4 linked regions of the Caenorhabditis elegans genome follow. The protein of the gene in region 1 interacts with the protein of each later gene in a pairwise test. Each region holds a gene or a part of one and is shown in the gene's direction. Other genes may lie near its edges. The genes, in order: mpz-4, C44C10.5, F08D12.7 and T01D3.6.

Region 1 (4,305 bases):
AAACAATAATTTCGGAAAATTTCAAATAACTTTTTTTCAACTTTTTGCAACTTTGTGCAGTTACAGACAAATTTCCATTTAGAATTTAATTGTTTTCAAATGTTAGCATTATCCGAGACATTTTTCATGCTTTTAGCCATGAATAACCAAACTCAAAATAAGTTCACGTCCCACTACTAATTGTACAGTAATCATATTTATTAATTTATAATGTTGTTGAAACATTCCATTAAATTTTTCGAACAAAACTTTTTTTCACTTTGTTTGAAGGCAGTAAAACTTTGAAGCAGTAATTTTTAAAATCTCAAGGGTAACATACTTATGGGCTAACTTTTCAGTTTTGTTTTTACAAAAAATTATCCATTTGCCCTTCTAATATAATATATTTCAGGACAGCCAAGGAGCTTCAAGTATTAATGCAATGCACCTTCCAATGGGTACACGTCCACAGAATGTACCCCATACATTGAATGTAAATACTGATGACTGGTAAGTTTTCACATAAAATTTTACACACTTCTAAAGCACGTTGCTTCACTTCTGATATACTTACCGTACTTCTATTGTAACTCTATTGTGTGCCATTTATTCACAGGTCTCAATCATCGGATTTCCGTCCAGCCTATGCAAAGGAACCATCACCACTGCAGGGTACAGTAATCCGTGGCGATGGACGGAGCCATAGAAACCACGTGTATTCGCGGGAAACTCAGGTATAATTGTGCTCCATCCGGTTCTGCCGCTTTTTATCCAAATCTGGCGTTTGTAAATAATTTTCATAATGAATTCTTATTTGTTTCAATTTGCTCAAATTATCTAATTTTGTGTGTACTTGTGTTTGTGTGTTACTTATTTATTATAGTTAGAACTTAATTTTTTTCTTTTTAAATATTAATTTTTATGCATTTTGAGATTACAACTATTCAACATACAGTACTCCTATGGAATACTGTAATTTATTCACTTTTGACCTACTTTTTGATCTCGTGCAGTGCAGTGTGTGCTTTCATTTGAACCCTTTGTGCTTTGACCCTTTTTCTGTTAGTTTTCAACTTTAATTCATTTTTTTTGCAATAAATTTACTTTTGATACATTTTTTCTAAATATAATATTTTATTTTTCCAACAGGTCGAAGAACAACCAGACGTAATCACTCGCCTTTAAAATTCATTTTTTGCATTTATTTTCCGATTTTCTTTCAAACATTCTTCCCCGTCTTGTAGGCACCGGTTTTAGGCTCTCAATTGGGTTTTGTTTGCTCTTTTTCTTCAATTTGCTGTAATTATATAATTGGTGATCGCTGATAATGTGATTGATATCAAAATGGGTAATTTATGATGTATTCCAATCGTGTAATTTTTGAAATATTCAATAAATAATTGTTCATATTCTTGTTGTTGATTAATATATCAGTGTCTATAAAAATTTAATTAAACAAGCAGTGGCAGAAAAAAATTTCAAAAAAAAATGCAGTTTCAAGACATTATTATTACTTTTTTTTAACAAAGGTAACACAAAGTAACAGTTTTTAAAAAATTCTATAGTTTCTCGAAATTGGTGAAAAAGTTTGGATTTCACAATTTAATTTGCTTCGTTGGTAAGTAATTTTCAAACTCACACGTTTCAACGATTTATTTATTTATTTATTTTAATACGATTCCATACGAATCGTGTCCCAAGAAAAAACATAAAACATAAATGATTGATTTTGAATCACGCGATTTTGCAGTTTTATGCCGAAAACATTCTCAATAAGTTCAGTTCTAAAAAAAAGTTAGAAAATCACGTTGAAAAAGATTTAATAATTCTGACCTTTGATATTTTATCTTCACGTTCGATCAATTGCTCTAATTTTTTATTCCCTCCCCCCCACCCCCTCTTATCATTGTTCTTCTCGATTCTAATTTATTTCACAACAATCGATAATTCAAGTATCAAACAAATTCAATTCAAAGCATTTGATAGCTTGAAAAGATGCCACAAGAAATTCCACCTGCAGTCAAATATAAAATCTATCCGGAAGGTGCAGAGGGAATAGACACGGTTTGGGAGCGGCCCGGATTCAAGAAGGGAGAGGTGAGAGGGGTTTTTTGGAATTTGGAAGTTGGATTTGGAATCGAAACAGTGAGAAATTTGAATAATAATTTTTGAACTTTATTCAAGATTTTTTTAATAATTAATTTATTTTTCTTCATTGTGAACAATATTTCTTGAACTAAGTAATTGAGGCAGTCGGGGGTGTTCGAAAGAATATTTTATTATAGAATCAAACTTTCTTTTTTTTAATGGTTTAATGGTTTTTTTAATGGTACACTAGTAGTGAAACATAATTTTATTTTAAAAGTTATTTCTATTCTAGAAACACGTATTTCAGATAGAAGCTCGAGTCAAAGATGTGGTCATTCTGCGTGGAGAACCAGTTCCAAACAGCTACAAAATGCTTGTAGAGGCCACATTTGAGCTCCCAAAGAAGGATAAAATAACGGTAAGCGACATCATCAATGACTTTATGTAAAACGTTTTTGATTTCCAGCAACTCGGACTCGTCAATCGACATGGGTTGGTCACTCGTGTTCATTACGCGAGCCCATTCAAAGGAGCAATTCTACCGGGTGACATCATCTTGCAAGTGAACGGTACGACTGTCTCATTCGATGAGAAACAATTGACAGAGCATGTCGACGAGACCACCGGTGGAGCAAGTCTCCAGTCAAATGTGAAGACTGTTAAGAGGAAGCCAACGACTACACCGTAAGGACAAATGTTATGAAAACTTGAAAAATATTTACCTTATTAAGGAAAACTGAACCTGTGAGAGCACCACATTCACTTTATCCAGACTTCAAGGTTGTTGTCGGAAAGATTTTGAACTCAAAATCTGAGACAAAGATTACGGTTCTGGTCGCTAGATTGAAGAACAGAATGTCTACGTCTAAGATTCCAAATGGTAAGTTTGAATATTTGTTTCTTATTGTGAAACAGTAATTTTCATATAATTTCAGGTATCTTAGCCACACAGGATCACACCATCGATTTGGCCATTCTCTACCAATTCAAATACCTGCAGCTTGGTCTGAACGTGCAGCAGGTCGACAGAAAAGTGGTGGTCAACTACACTATTCCGGATTCAGTTTCACATTGTAGTTTGAATATTGGTGAAGCTATTATTGCTGTTGATGATAAACCAATCAACACTCTGGCAGATAATCGTCAACGATTTCGCGAAGGATTTGAGGCGAATGGATGGATTCGATTGTTGGTTGAGTATCCGAATACGGATCCAATCAAAAATATGGTTCGGGGACAGCTTGCAGTTGGTTATTTGCCTCACATTTTTTTTCTTCTATTTTAATTGCAGAATGTTATGAGAACTGCCGAACGACCGCAATACTTGCTTTGTGGAGATGTCCGTAAATACTTTGTAGAAGGAATTGAAGCTCTGAAAAATGGAAAAGCGTTGGCTCCCATTTTAAAAGAGGAAGAAGGGCCGGGAGAAGTTGGGAAGAAGAAGAGTGATGCGAAAGTTACCAAAAAGTATGTTTTTAAATAAATTAAGATAAAATCTTCAACTAATTCAGGGACCCGGCTGTTGGATTCAACAACACAACTGAAGAATTTTTTATTCCGGCGGAATGGAACTCGAAGCTTTTCGTTTGGCTCCCGCCGCTGAAGACCAAGGTGACCGAATCGGCATCTTCGAACATGCCGGTTAAAAAATGAACTTCATTCTTCTTTAATAAAACATTTGACTGATCTCGGGCGGGCTCGAACCACCGACCTTCTGTGTGTTAGACAGCACAGGTAAAGCGCTAAAAGCGAGACATTAACCAAATGTACGTGAAGGCCCGCTAAAAAGCCAATGATGGGTCGCACCTAAAAATTTTTTTTTTAATTATTGGAAAATCTAACATCGGTGATGGAACAATTTAACATTTTTTGGAAAATACTTTAGTTAAACATTAATTTCAGCTAGATTGTTTTATTCAATCATTTCAAATTTCCGAAAAATTTTTTTGAAAATCAGCTTTTATATATTTTTATCAATTAAAAAAAAACACCCGTACAAGCTATTATACTCTGTTCGGCATTTGCTGCTATTTTTGACTATGCTTAAGAGTTTTATGAAATAAAAAAGAATGACTCCATATGATTTTACAGGACTTTTGAATTTTTGAAAAAATCAGCTTTTATATATTTTTATCAATTTTTAAAAAAATACTTCCGTACAAGCTATTATACTTTGATTGACAGATTCTGGTGTTTTTGACTATGCTGAATAGTTTTATGAAATAAAAAAGAATGACT
Region 2 (4,833 bases), on another chromosome or scaffold:
TGATTATATAGGTCACGAACTAATTTATTTTGAAAATTGACCTGTGGACCTATAACTTTGGAGATATGGTAAATTGAGTATGGGCTTTTAGATTTTCACGTTTTTAGGTGATTATCTAGGTCACGAACTAATTTATTTAGCAAGTTGGCCTGTTAGCCTATAACTTTGGGGATATGGGTAATCAAGTATGGGCTTTCAGATTTTCACGTTTTTACGCGGTTATCTAGGTTACGAACTAATTTAATTTGTAAATGAACTTGTGTGACTATAACTTTGGGGATATGTAATCAAGTATGGGATTCGGAATTTCACGTTTTCAGGTGATTAGCTAGGTCATGAACTCAACATTTTTAAAAATTCAGTTATGCTTGTATAAATTTTGTGACAAGCGTAGTCAAGTTCTAATTTTCAGAGTTTTATGTTTTATGTAATATGCTCTTTTATTCATTAGTTTCAGTCAGAAAATACATAATAACCGAAGTGTCGGAGCAAGATAAGCAAGTTTGTGAATTTTTATGAATCTTCCTTGTCTTCTTTTTTGAACTTTTATAAGAGTAATAACGAGATTTCATTGTAGATTAGAGGAGGGTGTCAGAACAGTTGAAAATGGCCGTGGCCGAACTTTGCCGCGTGTACTCCTCTCGGATAAAATAACATTTGAATTTATTAACAATAAACTTGATCTTTTGTAGAGTTTTCCATATTACTTTTATTTCTTTAGCCTTGTTTTCGAGTTTTTCAGTACAATTCAGTACATAATCATAGTTGCAAAATCATAATTAATTCAAAAAAAAAACTATTGGTTGAAAATTTGATTGTACAATAGATAAGATTTCCAGTTTTATTGCTCCATGCAACTAAATAATTTTTAAAACTAGTGTATTAGAGTTTTTAATTTCTCAACATCCGCTGTAGAGAGATTTTTGTATTACCCTTGCTTTTTCTCACTTGAATACGTTTTTTTAACGTGAGACGGCCTGTTATATTTATAACTTTTCAATTTCCACCTGGACTGTTTTGCTCTCGGACTGTTTTGTCGTCTAGAGAAATATCTAATTTTCACTTTTTCAGTTAGTCACTATAACTTCTACAGCTTAGCAAAAACAGTGCAAACTGTTTCAGAAAACCGCCCGTCCTTATAGCTTTGACAAATGTATACTTTTTTGTGGCCTTTCAAGATTTTGGAAAAACTATCCTAATTTCACCACTTTTCAGTGTCGAAGCTGTCCGAACTTGACACGTTTCTGAATAATAATTTTTTATTAAATATTTTAGTAGTTTATCTCATGCCATTTTATTGATTAAGTTACCTTTAAAGACGTTAGGCCACCAATTTTGGTGATTTTTGGTTACCTATCGGGTTAAAAATTATCTTAACCTCAACAAAATAAAATTAGATAAAATACGTAAAGGATGGTAATCTAATGAAAAGTAATTTCCAAAACCTGCGGCTCGGAAAATTGCGCAAGATTTGAGGTTTCAGCAAAAATAGTGTCAAAAAATGATGTTTCAAACTAATTCCCCTCTAACGATCCTCCTCCTGCAGATGTATTAGTTTTTCCCAATTCATCGCACCTGCCAAAAGATTTTCCCGGCCGAGAGTCTCGCTGTGTGTGACAAGAATGTAGTCTTGAACCATTGGCCGACCGTTTCCAAGATAATGGATCGTGAGATCACAACCCGAAAAAGATGTTGCAAGACAACATTTACAGCGTTATCGATCACCCATCATTTCATCTATTTATTCTTGCCTCTTTCCATGTCGGCCAGCGGAGGCTTTATTATTAAATTGATAGATTCGGTGTGTGCCTAGATTATTTTGTGCTCTATTTATTCATCACGTTAAATATTTTGTCTCCAAATAATTAATCCACTTTAAATTTTGTTTTTCAGATGACGCAGTTGTTGAGTATATCCGTCAAAAATTTTATGTGTCTAGAGGACGTGAAATACGAGTCTTTCGGCAAGATCACCACAATCACGGGACCAAATGGATGCGGAAAATCTGCATTGGTCCGGGCGATTGGAATTCTTACAGGAGATGAGGTGACGGAGTCTTCCAATCAGCAATATGCGGTGAGATTTGGAAAATATATAAATTTTTGGTACTTGTGGGTTTCGTTCCCCCCAAAATGATTTTTAATTATGTAACACTACCTTTTTATTTAAATCCACACGTGAATGTTTATTTTAATACGGTTTTCATTTTTACAAGGCTTAGAAAATCATTTCACTAAGCCTGAGAATGAAAAAAAAAGTTTACGTCTCAATTAGAAAATATGGAAATCATTTTGGGGGGAACGAAACCCATAAGTACCAAAATTTTAATTCAATTTAAATTTCAGGATTTTCTTCTTGACACCAGCCATCCGTGTGTTCTTATCATGGCTTGAAAACTGCCAGAAAAACGACCAAGTCGTTTAAATGCACGATTGACACAACTGACCGTACTTTCATGGTTGACAACTTGCATCGCACGAGAGAGGAGTATTTGCGGGAGCTTGATGACATCACACTTCGTGTTCACGGCAGAAAATTATCCGTCTACAGCTCGTCGTCAAAAGTTACACAAGATAACGCTGAAGATTTTGGTTTATTTTTGGAGGCTATCTTCGACTCAATTGAGCACAAGCCAAAGTACGATTGACTTTGCATTATGATTGAAGAATCTAAACAAAAAGTCGAAAAACACACGAAAATGAAAGAATTGATACAAGTGGAGCAGGGACAATTCATTTCTCTTCATCTCTACAGATTGTTTTTGAACGATTTGGAGAGAAAGTCATTAGAGAAAAAATTGACAAAGGAGCAAGTTAAACTCACCAATATCAAGGTTCGTTTATACTTTTTTGACACTTTGATTAAGCAGTTTGTTTACTGAGAGACTATATATCTTTCATTTATTTACTCAATCAAAATAAGAAAAACGTTTTAACAAGCCAATTTTTTCAGGCATCAAAACAATCGCAGAAAGTTACAAAAAGTGATGATCCAAAAGCAATTGCAAAACAAGCTCCTCCCGCAATGTTCAAGGTTCAAGGCTGTTCAAGGCTGGATGGTGACAGTTTATCCCAAGAGAACGCAGAAAAACCGGCTATTGTCATCGAACTAGAAAATCGACTCGTCCAACAACGTGCACAACGTCGAAAAATCATTGCAAATGTCACTTTACAGGATCTTGATATTCCTGCCAAAGAAGCAGGTATGTGACTCTGAATACAGTTTCAAATAGCATGGATTTACTTCAATATTTAGGTACGTTTTCCTACGACGTCAAACCGGATTATTCCTCCTTACCAGATGAGTTGAAGAAGGTAAGAAAATTTGCCGCCATTTGAAGAAAATTATTCAATTTCAGGAAAGCAACGATGCTGAAACAGTTAAGATGCATCTGCGTACTTTGGAGGAAACGATCCAGGCAACTCGTAACGAATGGGTTGCTGTCAATGGAGCAGAGTATCCGGATATGAGTAATATTTTAATAAGATTCCACGAGACGGACAGCTTTATTAACATAGCAAAGTTACGCACAACTGAGCTAGAAGCCGAAATTGAACAGGTTTATTTAATGTTTTTTTCTGTTTAAATTTTTATGAATTTCTCTGTACCTGTGTATAGAATTACCTTGGTTTTTTGAAGACATTGTTTCATTTCAGGTCAAAGCCAGTCGCCGTACTCATTTCAATCAACGCCTTGCTGCAGTATCATCGTCTGTGAGCAGAATCTATAGAGAGATTTCTGAGGATCCGGATTCCACCGTTTCACTTGCGTCATCCAATGAGGATGAACCGTATGAATGTTGATCTGTTTGTCGGAGGAATAAATGAAGATCTCGAGCCAACTCGCTTCCACCGCGGCGGATCAAGAGGAATCGTTGCTAATCTGGCTCTTGTTCTTGCACTTCACGAGCAAACGGCTTATTTGAAAAATGTGCAAACGCCTTCACCACTCCTCGTGGTTGATGACATTGACAAAAGAATGTCGGAAACGACAAGCAATAAGGTTGGTCAAAAAACAGAAGCTACGGCTCATCTAAAGATAAATTCACTGTTTAATTAAACAAATTTCAGGTCTGTTCGTATCTCACCGGCCAGGACAATACTCAATACATTGTAACCACCCACAACGACAGTTACTTCACTAAACACACCACAACTTTCAGCATGCCAGATATCTAATGTCTTTTTTTACGTGTATCTATTACAATGTTGATACATTTACAAAATATAAAGCCTGACGAAAATTCCTTCACGAACATTCCCGACCATACTCGTCTTTCTTAAATCCGAAGTCCCAAGCTATTTCAATGTGATTAGTATAATAAAGGCAGTTTACCACACTTTCGTTCTTTTTTAATATTCATAATAATAATACTTTTTTGTTATTGTTTGCTAGATAATACTAAAGACTATAGATATAAATATTGTCGGTTCAATTCCATTTCTGAGACGGAGAGCATGAAGTACATTTTCTGATTTAAATACATACTCGGCAAATCATTTCTTTCCCGTTCAACTGCTTTTTACACGATTTTGGCCATTTCTACAACAGTGTCGATAGTTTTTGTTTTGCAGATAGACGCAGAGAAAACCAGCACCCATACGAATGCAGGGTTTCTCCCTCGCTGCACTTGTGGCCGTGGCCTAAGAATACAAGACGTGCTCATCATTGTCTGCTATTTTTTTTGAATTAACTATTTGCGTTTGTTTTTTTTTGTCTTTTTTGTCTTCAATTTTCTTGTTTTAAAAATGTTATTTATCACAATTTGATGTTGATTCTGACCGCTTTTTTTAAATTTGTTTAATTGCAGACATGACGTACCCGCAGCAACGA
Region 3 (3,951 bases), on another chromosome or scaffold:
AGAATGATATTCAACAAATTAGTATCAAAGCATTTTTATCAATTGATATTAATATTTTGTCACACAATCAAGAAGTAACTTCGTTGGTTTTCTTCAAGAAAGACTATGGTCGATGGAATTTTGAGAGTTGCGAATCAGTAACCGCCACAGAAACTTTGACACCGTTGGAGCCCGAGTCTGACAGAGTATGGGTGAAAAGAGGATTCAAACTTCGGGATTGGATCGATCATGTTATGGAAATATTCAATTGCTCGAGGATTCACGAAATTTACATTTCCAGAATAGGTCATGAAGAGCACTATATAAGTTTGAGCAATGCAGTGAAGGAACTAAAAACTGAGACAATTTTTTTTAGTTTTTGCTCGGATACTGTTGTCCAGAGTGTAGTCGCCAATGTCCAAAGCAATGATATATCCTTTAATTTATCATTCAACATTGAACCGTCCATGCAAAAGCATAAAGTACTTACTCGACACTTCGAACGTGTTTCATTTTCCAAAGATGATACTAGAGAAGCTCTCACGTTAAATGATTTATTGATCACCAACGTCTCCCAACTAAATATTTCCGCTCATCATCTGTCTTTCGAAGAGTTGAACATTTTCATCAGGCACTTGATTAGTGGATCGAATCGGAGGCTCAAAATTGTCGGCATTGTTTGTGCTGAAGCGACCAGGAACATGCAAATTTTGTTGAAAGGAATTTCTCACTCGGTGTACTCGGCGGAGCTAAAAATTGTGGCTCGAAACGAAAACGACTACCAACTTGGTGATACTATCTATGTATACCAAAATTGTGGAAGAAGGTTGGCGATGCAGACGTACTTATTTGAAGGAGTTGAGAAAATTGTAATGCGAGTTTATTGACTTTATTGTATAACTGTGTTGGTCTGTGTAATACCTTTTTATTTTCTACAATTTTCTACAACTCTCCAACCCTGCAAAACTTTTTTGCCACTTCTTTTGTTCGGGCTATTATTCATGATTTTTTGTTTCCTCATTTTTTTTGTTTTTTTTTTCTAACTTCTAAATTTTATGTAACTTTTTCCTCTCTTTTTCCCCCTAAGCCTAAGCCTAAGCCTAGGCCTAGGCCTAAGCCCAAGCTTTTCTACTTGCATCGAATACACTAATAAATGTTAAAACTATTGAAAAACAGATGACTCAGGTTCAATTAAAAAATGTGATAATAAATATTAATATTTTTCTTTTAAATGTGACCTATCACTTTTGAACGTTTTAAGAGTTTTAGCTTTACTCAACTAAATTTAAACTACCGGAAAACTCTTTAAAAATCTCTATTTTTGTTTAAATTATAAAGTGTTTAGGCAAATTTCACCCAGGGAACATGTGTCACATGTTTTTTGCTCTCCCTCTCATCCCCCACTGCTTAAAGATCTTCTCGGAGGATGCGCCACCTGTCGTCAATTTGTTGTGATGTTTGAAGACAGAGAAATCAGAAACAGATAGATAGACATTTCGTTTTGATATAAAAATACATTTTGATTTGTGTTTCCGAATTTTTAATCGAATTTATATTCCAGCCATGCTAAAACCAACTTTAACATTTTACTTAACACTTCTGTACACCCTGAGCCCGGTGAGCTCTCAAAACTCCACTGAGCCGTGCGACTCGGACAAGTGTCTCCTGATGGTCGCAGAGCTTGGGCCGATTATCAGCAAGCATGAGCACGTGAAGCCCAAAGCCGAGACTCTGAAAAAGATGAATGATTTGTGTACAGATATTAAGGTTAGGCTTAGATATCGGATTTTCCAGAAATTTCAATAATTTCTCATATATTCCAGACGTGTTTTAAAGCAGCGACGTGTAAAAAAGGAGCCCATACCTATGAAAGTATGAGGGATGCCTGTGATGGGCTCGAGTTGATGACCGGAAATGTGCAGCCTTGCATGACAAAGTTCTATTTAGCAGTGTATAATGAGAAGTACAATTGCACAGGAGAACGGGATTATTTGACTGTGAGTCTGGAGCTTTTTATTTCAAATGTGCACTCAAAAAAAATTAAAATAATTCCAGGACGACCTCCCAGCTCGCCGCGTATCCTACACATCAGGCCGGTTCTGCTTCTTCCAGGTCATTGGCAAGGAATGCTCCGAGGAGACTGTAGCCATCCTGAGCTCCAACTTCAACTATGACAACCTGATTAATGTGCTCACAACTGTGCCGGGAGGCTTTCAGGACAACTGCAATAGACTGCACCATGCGTTCAATAAACTTCAGTGTGAAGCTCTGGAAAGTGGTATTGTGGCGAAGGAGCGGGAGATCAACTGGGTAGACGTACAGTCGAATGACACGAATTTGGTGGAGTTTCTGCAGCTTTTTGAGGATGCAGAGGCAAGATTTTAGCGTTGATTGTGGTATACACCATTGAAAATTTCCGGAAAATCGGCAAATTCCGCAACTTGATAATTTGCCGAATTTGCCGGAAAAAACGGAAAAATTTCGGGAAGTGGGCAAATTGGCGCAATTGAAATTTCCGGCAAATCGACAAATTGGCAAATTATTGAAAATTTCCGGCAAAACGGCAAATTGCTTAAATTGAACATTTCTGGCAACCCGGAAAATCGTTGGAATTGAAGATTTCCGGCAAATCGGCAAATTGCTCGAATTTTCGGCAAGTCGGCAAATCGGCAGTTTGCTGGAATTGAAACTTTCCGGCAAATCGCAAAACCAGCAAATTGCCGAAAATGAAAATTTCTGGCAAACCGACAAACTGCCGGAATTGAAATTTCCGGCAAATCGGCAAATTGCCGGAATTAAAAATTGGGCTAATCGGCAAATCGGCAAATTGACAAGCTGACAATTTGTCGAAAATACAATTTTCTGGCAAGTCGGCAAACCTGTAAATGGTCGGAATTGAACATTTCCTGCAAATCGGCAAATCGGCAACTTGCTGGATTATAAAATTTCCGGCAAATCGGCAAATTGGCAAAATATTGAAAATTTCCGGCAAATCGGCATATTGCTGAAATTGAAAATGCCGCTAATCCCTGATATACGTAAACTATAAGCTATCAGCTAAATTTTCAAATTTTCCAAAATCCGTTCTCATTCCAGAAATGCATCTCAAAATCATGCTCCTACAACGACCTGGAACGCCTGATCTTCCAGAGCAAAAAGGACTGGTTTGAGCTCTACAGCACCGAGTTTTTCATCTGCAAACGGAAGATGATGCTCGACAAGCCGACCGCAAAAAAGTTCCCCTGCATCGGGGACCATAACATTGCGGGCTCGAAAAAAGAAGAAACATGTGAGCGGCACACAAAGCTGAAAGAATGCACGAGGACTGTTATGGAAGCTTCGTGTGGGAAGAAGGCTGTTGAGAATTATGAGAAAACCGCCGAGACAATTAAGAAACATTTTGGGTGTTGATGAATAAAAGGTTTATAGTCAAAAGTATTGAAAAAAGTCTCATTCAATAGTAATCACAGTAGAACAACGTATACTATCCAATTTCCAGTCCAAATGCATCATTGTTTCGTCATTTTGGGTGAACTTGATGCGTTTTTCAAGTTTATGGTTATTGCCGGGGTTTTTATTCCAGATTGAATAAGAAATCCCTTTCATCGAATCCTCCACCTTCCAGATTCCTTCATTAGTTCGATGAAGCTCGACTGTTTCCAGCTGTCGATTAGGTTGAGCTATATATAGCCTAATGAAAATGTTTAATTCCTGGGAAGACAATTTACAAGGGAATAGGCATAGTTTGGAGCAGTTCATGAGGAGTACATCGTCCAGCTGTAAATTTTTTCCGCGACCAGGAAGCTCATATGAAACTGAACCCAAATTGAGACAGTGAATTTTATGATTTGGCATTAGATGTCTTTCTGGGAATAGAGAAAAATAGGTGATTTTCTTGTGTTGATCATTGTTGATGCAATTCTCCAGCATAGTCTTTGGGACGGTTACTGAATCGCAAGACTGCAAGTCCCA
Region 4 (6,085 bases), on another chromosome or scaffold:
TATCCTTCGCATTTTCTAGAATTTGCTTTGCTTCAGCTGGATTCACAATCGCTCCTTCAGGTGATACAACCGGATTTATATGGTCGTGATGGTTGTGTTGATGGACAGCGCCTGAAAGTTGGTTTTAAATAATAATTTTTCACTAAAAAATATATTTACCACACTGTGCTCCATACAAAGCTTCAATTCCTTCTGGAATAATAACCGAAAGCGCAGTTCCAACGAGCAGTCCAGCGCCGAATATACTCACTAATCGAATTCGAGACTGCAATTAAAAAAAAATTATTTGAATCAGAAAAACAAAAAACTCACTTCAGATAAACTGAACATCAAAGGTATCGAGCCGGCCATGTAGCTGCCAAAAAACATTGCCGATGAGAGCACCAAGAGGAAACTTACCCCCTCCATTGTCTGAAAATCAATAATTTATGTAAATAAAATGTTTTAACAAATAGAAAAGTCCAGGTTACGTTTTTTGGCAAGTGAAAGAACATGAATTGGCAAAACGAATAGAGATGAAGCGCCGATAAAACTGAAAACAGTGAAAACAAAGCAAAAGAAAAAATTCATTTAATGCGTGCGGTAGAGCGCGGTTGCGTTGACACGTCACACACGCTGTGGGAAACATTATCTGGAGAAACGGATTTCTCATGAGGTATGTTAACGAGGACGCAATTTTAAATTAAATAATCTGTTAGAATATTCTCAAATTCCATAAACGTTATTTGAAAATTTATACTTGTAGCTGGAAAAATAGGGATCATTAGAATTTGTAATTCTGCGGAGTGTGCCTTTCCGGGAATTTGTGTGATCTCATTTTGATATGTGGATTCAATGTGACATTGAAACATTAAAACAGCGACCTGAAAACAAAAAAGAATTACCCAGATGCGAAATTTTGCGATGTATGCGCTAAAAATACGATAGCCGGTATCGACACGACAAATTTCTGTCAAATGCAAAAGGATGTGCGCCTTTAAAGAGTACTGTAAGTTGGAACTTTTGTTTCTGGCGAATTTTAATCGTTCAACAGTAAAAAAAAACATAAATTTACACAAATTGTGGCAGAAACTTAGAAAAATCGATAAAATTCGGCAGAAACGAGAGTTCGAAAATACAGTACTCTTTAAAGGCGCACATTCTTTCGCATTTGACAAACACTTGTCGTGGCGAGACCGGGCACCGTATTTTTGGTGCAAAAGTCGTATAATTTCACTGCTGGCTAATGTAAATATCAGCGTTCGATTTTTTAAATTAAATAACAGTAAATTTTGAAAATTTTGTACCCATTTCAATTCTTGAGCATGATATATATTCTTCAAAACAATTTTCAACTTTCCAGTGGGCTGCAGGCTACACCCGCGTGGGAGAGACCACCTGTGCCCTTTCGATATCAGAAACTTGAAACCACAAGACCTTCATCAATAAAACAAATAATATTGAACTTATTATCTTCAAAAGTTTTATTACGTGTGCCGACGATGTAACTTGTGCCAGTCTCATAGAACATTGTTCTAAAGTTAAAAATTTTCTAGATGAATTCCGCATAGGCGTGGTTTCAGAAAGAAGACCAAAGAAACAATTTTCGCACGATCTTCAAAAAAAGTCATCATTGATTCAGGAAATGGTAAATTATCGGAAACAGCTGAAAGGTTAATTACTCACGTTTTTCTCCGAGAAGCTTCAAAGAGAATCATGACGAAAACGATGATGATGAGTTGATAGTTTGCACCCGAATTATCGTTTTCTTTACAATTTCTTCGCTCCTCCAATCTTCAGCATTTCCCTATTCAAATATATAACACTATGATAATCGCCTTCAACACTATGAATCAAGTGGAAATGTCGCGGAGCACACTGATAATAATTGTATTTGTGGGAAAAGAGCAAACTAGTCCAACGATGTGAATTCTATGACGATGATTTCAGGTAGAGGGCAGAAACTCTGATAAGAATAGTTTATAAGGGCCTGAAGAGTTTCAGTTTGTGTGGAGAGGAAGAGCACAATGGCTCTCTTCAAACATTTGGCTTTATGCCTTCTTTTAACTCTCGCTGCAGCCGAGGATGACCTCAAGTGTTATGGAGCTGATTGTGAGGTTCCACATTATATGGATGATACGTAAGTTCTGAAGGGTTACTGTAGAAATTTGTGTTCATAGATTTTGACTTAAAATTAAATACTATGAAATGTGATTTTTAAAAACATACTTTTTCCTTATACTGTTATTTGTTCAGAAAAGTCGGAATGAGAGTTAATATTTTTTTTAGAATAAACAATTTTTAGCTAGATCTGAAAAGCCCAGTGAATATCAATTTTTCTTCAAAATCTAGTCCAACAAGACAGTACTCTATTTTCTCCAATTATCTATTTATCTAATTCCAGTGAACAATGCTCCGGCCTCGAATGTGAATCGAAAGAAACTCTTCTCGCCATGATCAGCCATTACCAAAAGGAGAAACACGATGAATACTTGGCACCACTCACAAAGCCGATTAGGGACGAAAGTGCGGTTCGCAATTTCCTGAACGAAGTGAGTGTTTAATCTTAAAACTTTTTAGAACAAAGATTATTATTTCAGGTTGCTGTCACCGGAGACCTCGCCGCCACAGTATCACCACAATGCAGTATTTGCAGTCAACCAGGACTTTGTAACAGCGGACAGTGCGTTCCAGACGCACGATTCCCATGGCAATATTTCTAGTACGTTTAAAGCTTCAACAATTTAAAAAAAAGTTCTATTTTCAGCTGTGTCTGCCCAGACTATGCATCTGGAAGATTCTGCCAAAATGAGATAAAGTGTAAGGATAACTCTTGCGGAAAGAATGCCGATTGCTATGTGGCAAACCATCAGCTTAACTGTATTTGTAAGCCAGGATACACAGCCCGTAGAAATGGAAGAGATTGTGATATGAAAGTTCAACAAGCTTGCATGAGTGGAGATCCTCATTATGTCACTTATGATGGTCTTCGTTTCGACTACCAAGGAACTTGCCCATATGTATTCTCTCAACCATGCACAACACTTCCAGCTCCATATTTGTGGTATTCAGTCAGAGCCAAGAACGAGCTGCCAGGAAAGGGATATCAGTAAGTTTAACTACTCGTAAACCATAGAGATCAAATTTCATTCACTAATTTTCAGCATCTCTCAAGTATCTGAAGTTGAAGTTGATCTTCACAACTTAACAATTCACGTTGATGGACGCTCAAAGACAGCTCTGGTAAATGGAGTTCAAGTTCTTACCCCATGGTACTTCCCAAACAAAAACACCTGGACCGTGAGAGTTCGTTTCTCTGGATCTACATTCACAATTGAAAATGATCAAGGAGTCGTTGTCACTTTCACAACTTACAATTCTCTTTGCGTTCAAGTACCAGACATCCCAGAGTTCAACGGAGCTACCACCTTGTGTGGATTGGCTGGAAATATTGATGGAAAGAAGTTGGATGACGTCGTCAACAAGAATGGATCCGTATTGGCAATCAAGTCGAGTCGTCAACCTGAGAACAACAATCATGCCGATTTCATGAAGACTGAGGTACGGATTCTGAATGAATGACTTGAAATCATATGTAATTATTCAGGATACCTGGATCACCGACAAGTTCCTGATCCTTCGCCCAGGCCAAGAGAACTGTATCAACGGCCAGACACTCGATAACAACACAAATTGCGTCAGTACTAGTATTAGTCTAGCCCAGAGTTGCGCGGTACCGCTCAACCTCTCCCTTTCCACCTGTTTCTTTTGCAAAAACTTATGATTTTTCAGGATGTTGCAACAGCTTCTCAAACGTGCTACCCAATTCAACAAGCTGAGATGGGACTCGGAACATTCGGGGCTTGTCAGGGACTTGGAAATGATACTCTTGAAGATTTCTACTACAATTGTATTTACGATATCTGTCGTAATCCAGCATTTAAGTGCACAGAGTTCACATACTTCCTTCAATACTGTCAATTGGCTCTTCCACAAGTTGCAATGAACCAGAACTGGCGCGCCCAGATCAACTGTCCACTTGCTTGCCCATTAAATGCTCATCCATCTACTTGCACATCATCTTGCCCATCAACTTGTGCTGAACCATTCCCAGAGTATTGTGATCAAGGTTGTGTTGATGGATGTGAATGTGATCCAGGATATGTCATTGATAATACTGTAACTGGATCTATCAAATGTATCCGACTTGATCAGTGTGGATGTGTTGATTCCGATGGAAACGCTCACAGACCAGGAAAACCATGGGTTACTCAGAACTGTACAATCTATCACGAATGCCAAAATGGAACAATGTGGAGTGACTATCGTCCATGCTCAGATGATGGAAGTTGCGTTCTCAATTCAATTGATATGCAATGCAAGTGTAACAATGGATACCGTGGAGATGGATACAACTGTACTGATATCAATGAATGTGTTGAGACTCCCGGAATTTGCGGACATGGACAATGTGTCAACACTCCTGGATCTTACCACTGCACCTGCGATGACTTCTGGCTGGGAGACAACTGCAACACCTACAAGCCACGTCGTCACTGTGCCGATTTGTATGTCTACTGGGGAGTCAGAGAAAGTGGTGTTAACTCCATCAATCCACCATTCGTTCTTCCACAAAGAGCTAAGTTTGCTCCAATGAATGTTTATTGCGACATGACAACCAACGGAGGAGGATACACTTTGATGTCTTCAGATACTGCAGATTTGAATACTAATAAGACATTCCAAGTGAGTACTAATTCCAAATTTGTGAATTGATTGTGAGACAAATAATTTTAAAGTGAATTTTTCAGGACTACTTGATCGGATTCGGAAATCCAGCAACTCAATCTGTGTGGCTTGGACTCGAGTTCATTCACCAACTTACCACCTATCAGCCACAAAATCTTCGTTTGAACCTCTTCAGATGTGCCAGCAACGGACGCCCATCCCTTACTACTGATTGTACATACCCAACATTCAGTGTTCTTGACTCTACCACTCAATACTCTGTGGTGATCCGTGAGGCTTGTACCGGATCTGAAGCTGATGAGCATTACTATCAAGATGGTTGGGCAAGATGGGATTTGACTCAGAATGGACCAAAGTTCTCCACCTGGGATATTGAAGCACAGACCACAATTCCACCAACATTGAGAGCCAAGATGGAGGGCGATGCAAGTAAGTTTTCGAGCTATAACTTTTCAAATTTCCTAACTAATAATGCATTTTCAGTTTACTACACATGTTCCAAGTCCAACTTCAACACTGGATGGTGGTATGTCGAGGATCAACTTTGTGGAGCTGCCAACTTGAACGGTGTCCGATACACATGCCCAGTTATTCCAGTTGAAAATGAGCGTTACTTGAGATGGGCCGAGGGAACACTCGGACAATCGTGGATGTACTTGCGTCCAGTTGGATTCCCAAAATATGACACTAATATGTAATATGTTTGGGTTTTGAACATTCTCACATGAAATTGTATCTTTGAAGTTTTCAAATCTTTGTTACGAGTAAAATAATGAACAATTCACATTCTGAAACCACTCGCACATCAAATAATAATTAGCTTCACCGAGGATCTGATCCTGAGTTTGACAAGAAATTTAATAGAAAATGGCATGCCCACGAGTCTGCCGATTGGGTATTTCTTTATGATTCGGCTCTAAATTTAATAGTTTGTTTTAAATTATTCAAAAAAACATATTTAATTTTTCGATAGGCCAGTTGTGCAATCAAATATTTTGACAGAGAAACCTATAGAAAACGATTTTGCAAACACTCTGAATGCGAACAATGCTTTGCAAAATTCTTTTTTATGAACGCTCCTATATTTGATTTTTTTTGCAAAAGTGCAGTGACTGAAAAATGACTCCAAATTGCAAATAAACTGCACGTCAAAAACATGGAAATTTTGCCAACACAAGTTCACAACAAAAATCGGCGTTCAGTCTGTCTTGAAACGAGTTCAGAAAAGATGCTTTATCAATTGGCTCTCTTCGCACTTCTTGGTACCTCGGCATTCAGAGGCAACTTTCTGCCACACTTTGCCAACGTATTTAGTGCCACTAAAATAAGTTGCCAAACTGCTGGCAGGAAGTTGCCA

Evidence for each region.
Region 2: the proteins of mpz-4 (region 1) and C44C10.5 interact in a two-hybrid assay, tested with the Caenorhabditis elegans proteins (one large-scale study listed by BioGRID).
Region 3: the proteins of mpz-4 (region 1) and F08D12.7 interact in a two-hybrid assay, tested with the Caenorhabditis elegans proteins (one large-scale study listed by BioGRID).
Region 4: the proteins of mpz-4 (region 1) and T01D3.6 interact in a two-hybrid assay, tested with the Caenorhabditis elegans proteins (one large-scale study listed by BioGRID).

The regions. Positions count from the first base shown.
Region 1 is NC_003282.8:4,824,935-4,829,239, reverse strand, and holds mpz-4 (PDZ domain-containing protein), read left to right. Parts: upstream 1-1,919; 5' UTR 1,920-1,974; coding exon 1,975-2,076; intron 2,077-2,374; coding exon 2,375-2,485; intron 2,486-2,533; coding exon 2,534-2,751; intron 2,752-2,798; coding exon 2,799-2,947; intron 2,948-3,002; coding exon 3,003-3,313; intron 3,314-3,358; coding exon 3,359-3,534; intron 3,535-3,578; coding exon 3,579-3,720; 3' UTR 3,721-3,752; downstream 3,753-4,305. Other genes in the region: tat-2 (Phospholipid-transporting ATPase), read left to right, coding at 392-489, 596-713, 1,129-1,164.
Region 2 is NC_003284.9:11,688,654-11,693,486, forward strand, and holds C44C10.5 (DUF4456 domain-containing protein), read left to right. Parts: upstream 1-1,887; 5' UTR 1,888-1,893; coding exon of another isoform or gene 1,894-2,136; intron 2,137-2,345; 5' UTR 2,346-2,656; coding exon 2,657-2,833; intron 2,834-2,952; coding exon 2,953-3,202; intron 3,203-3,255; coding exon 3,256-3,314; intron 3,315-3,358; coding exon 3,359-3,559; intron 3,560-3,656; coding exon 3,657-3,803; 3' UTR 3,804-4,002; intron 4,003-4,070; 3' UTR 4,071-4,314; downstream 4,315-4,833. Other genes in the region: C44C10.10 (Rad50/SbcC-type AAA domain-containing protein), read left to right, coding at 1,661-1,801, 1,894-2,136; smcl-1 (Structural maintenance of chromosomes-like protein 1), read left to right, coding at 4,813-4,833.
Region 3 is NC_003280.10:2,766,709-2,770,659, reverse strand, and holds F08D12.7 (T20D4.11-like domain-containing protein), read left to right. Parts: upstream 1-1,538; 5' UTR 1,539-1,542; coding exon 1,543-1,746; intron 1,747-1,802; coding exon 1,803-1,976; intron 1,977-2,034; coding exon 2,035-2,352; intron 2,353-3,075; coding exon 3,076-3,390; 3' UTR 3,391-3,410; downstream 3,411-3,951. Other genes in the region: fbxb-105 (F-box domain-containing protein), read left to right, coding at 1-866; F08D12.15 (F-box associated domain-containing protein), read right to left, coding at 3,430-3,951.
Region 4 is NC_003283.11:13,714,863-13,720,947, forward strand, and holds T01D3.6 (IgGFc-binding protein-like), read left to right. Parts: upstream 1-1,986; 5' UTR 1,987-2,006; coding exon 2,007-2,119; intron 2,120-2,383; coding exon 2,384-2,531; intron 2,532-2,579; coding exon 2,580-2,701; intron 2,702-2,746; coding exon 2,747-3,088; intron 3,089-3,143; coding exon 3,144-3,540; intron 3,541-3,586; coding exon 3,587-3,712; intron 3,713-3,771; coding exon 3,772-4,725; intron 4,726-4,790; coding exon 4,791-5,157; intron 5,158-5,211; coding exon 5,212-5,426; 3' UTR 5,427-5,540; downstream 5,541-6,085. Other genes in the region: zipt-9 (Zinc transporter ZIP9), read right to left, coding at 1-111, 160-265, 313-408.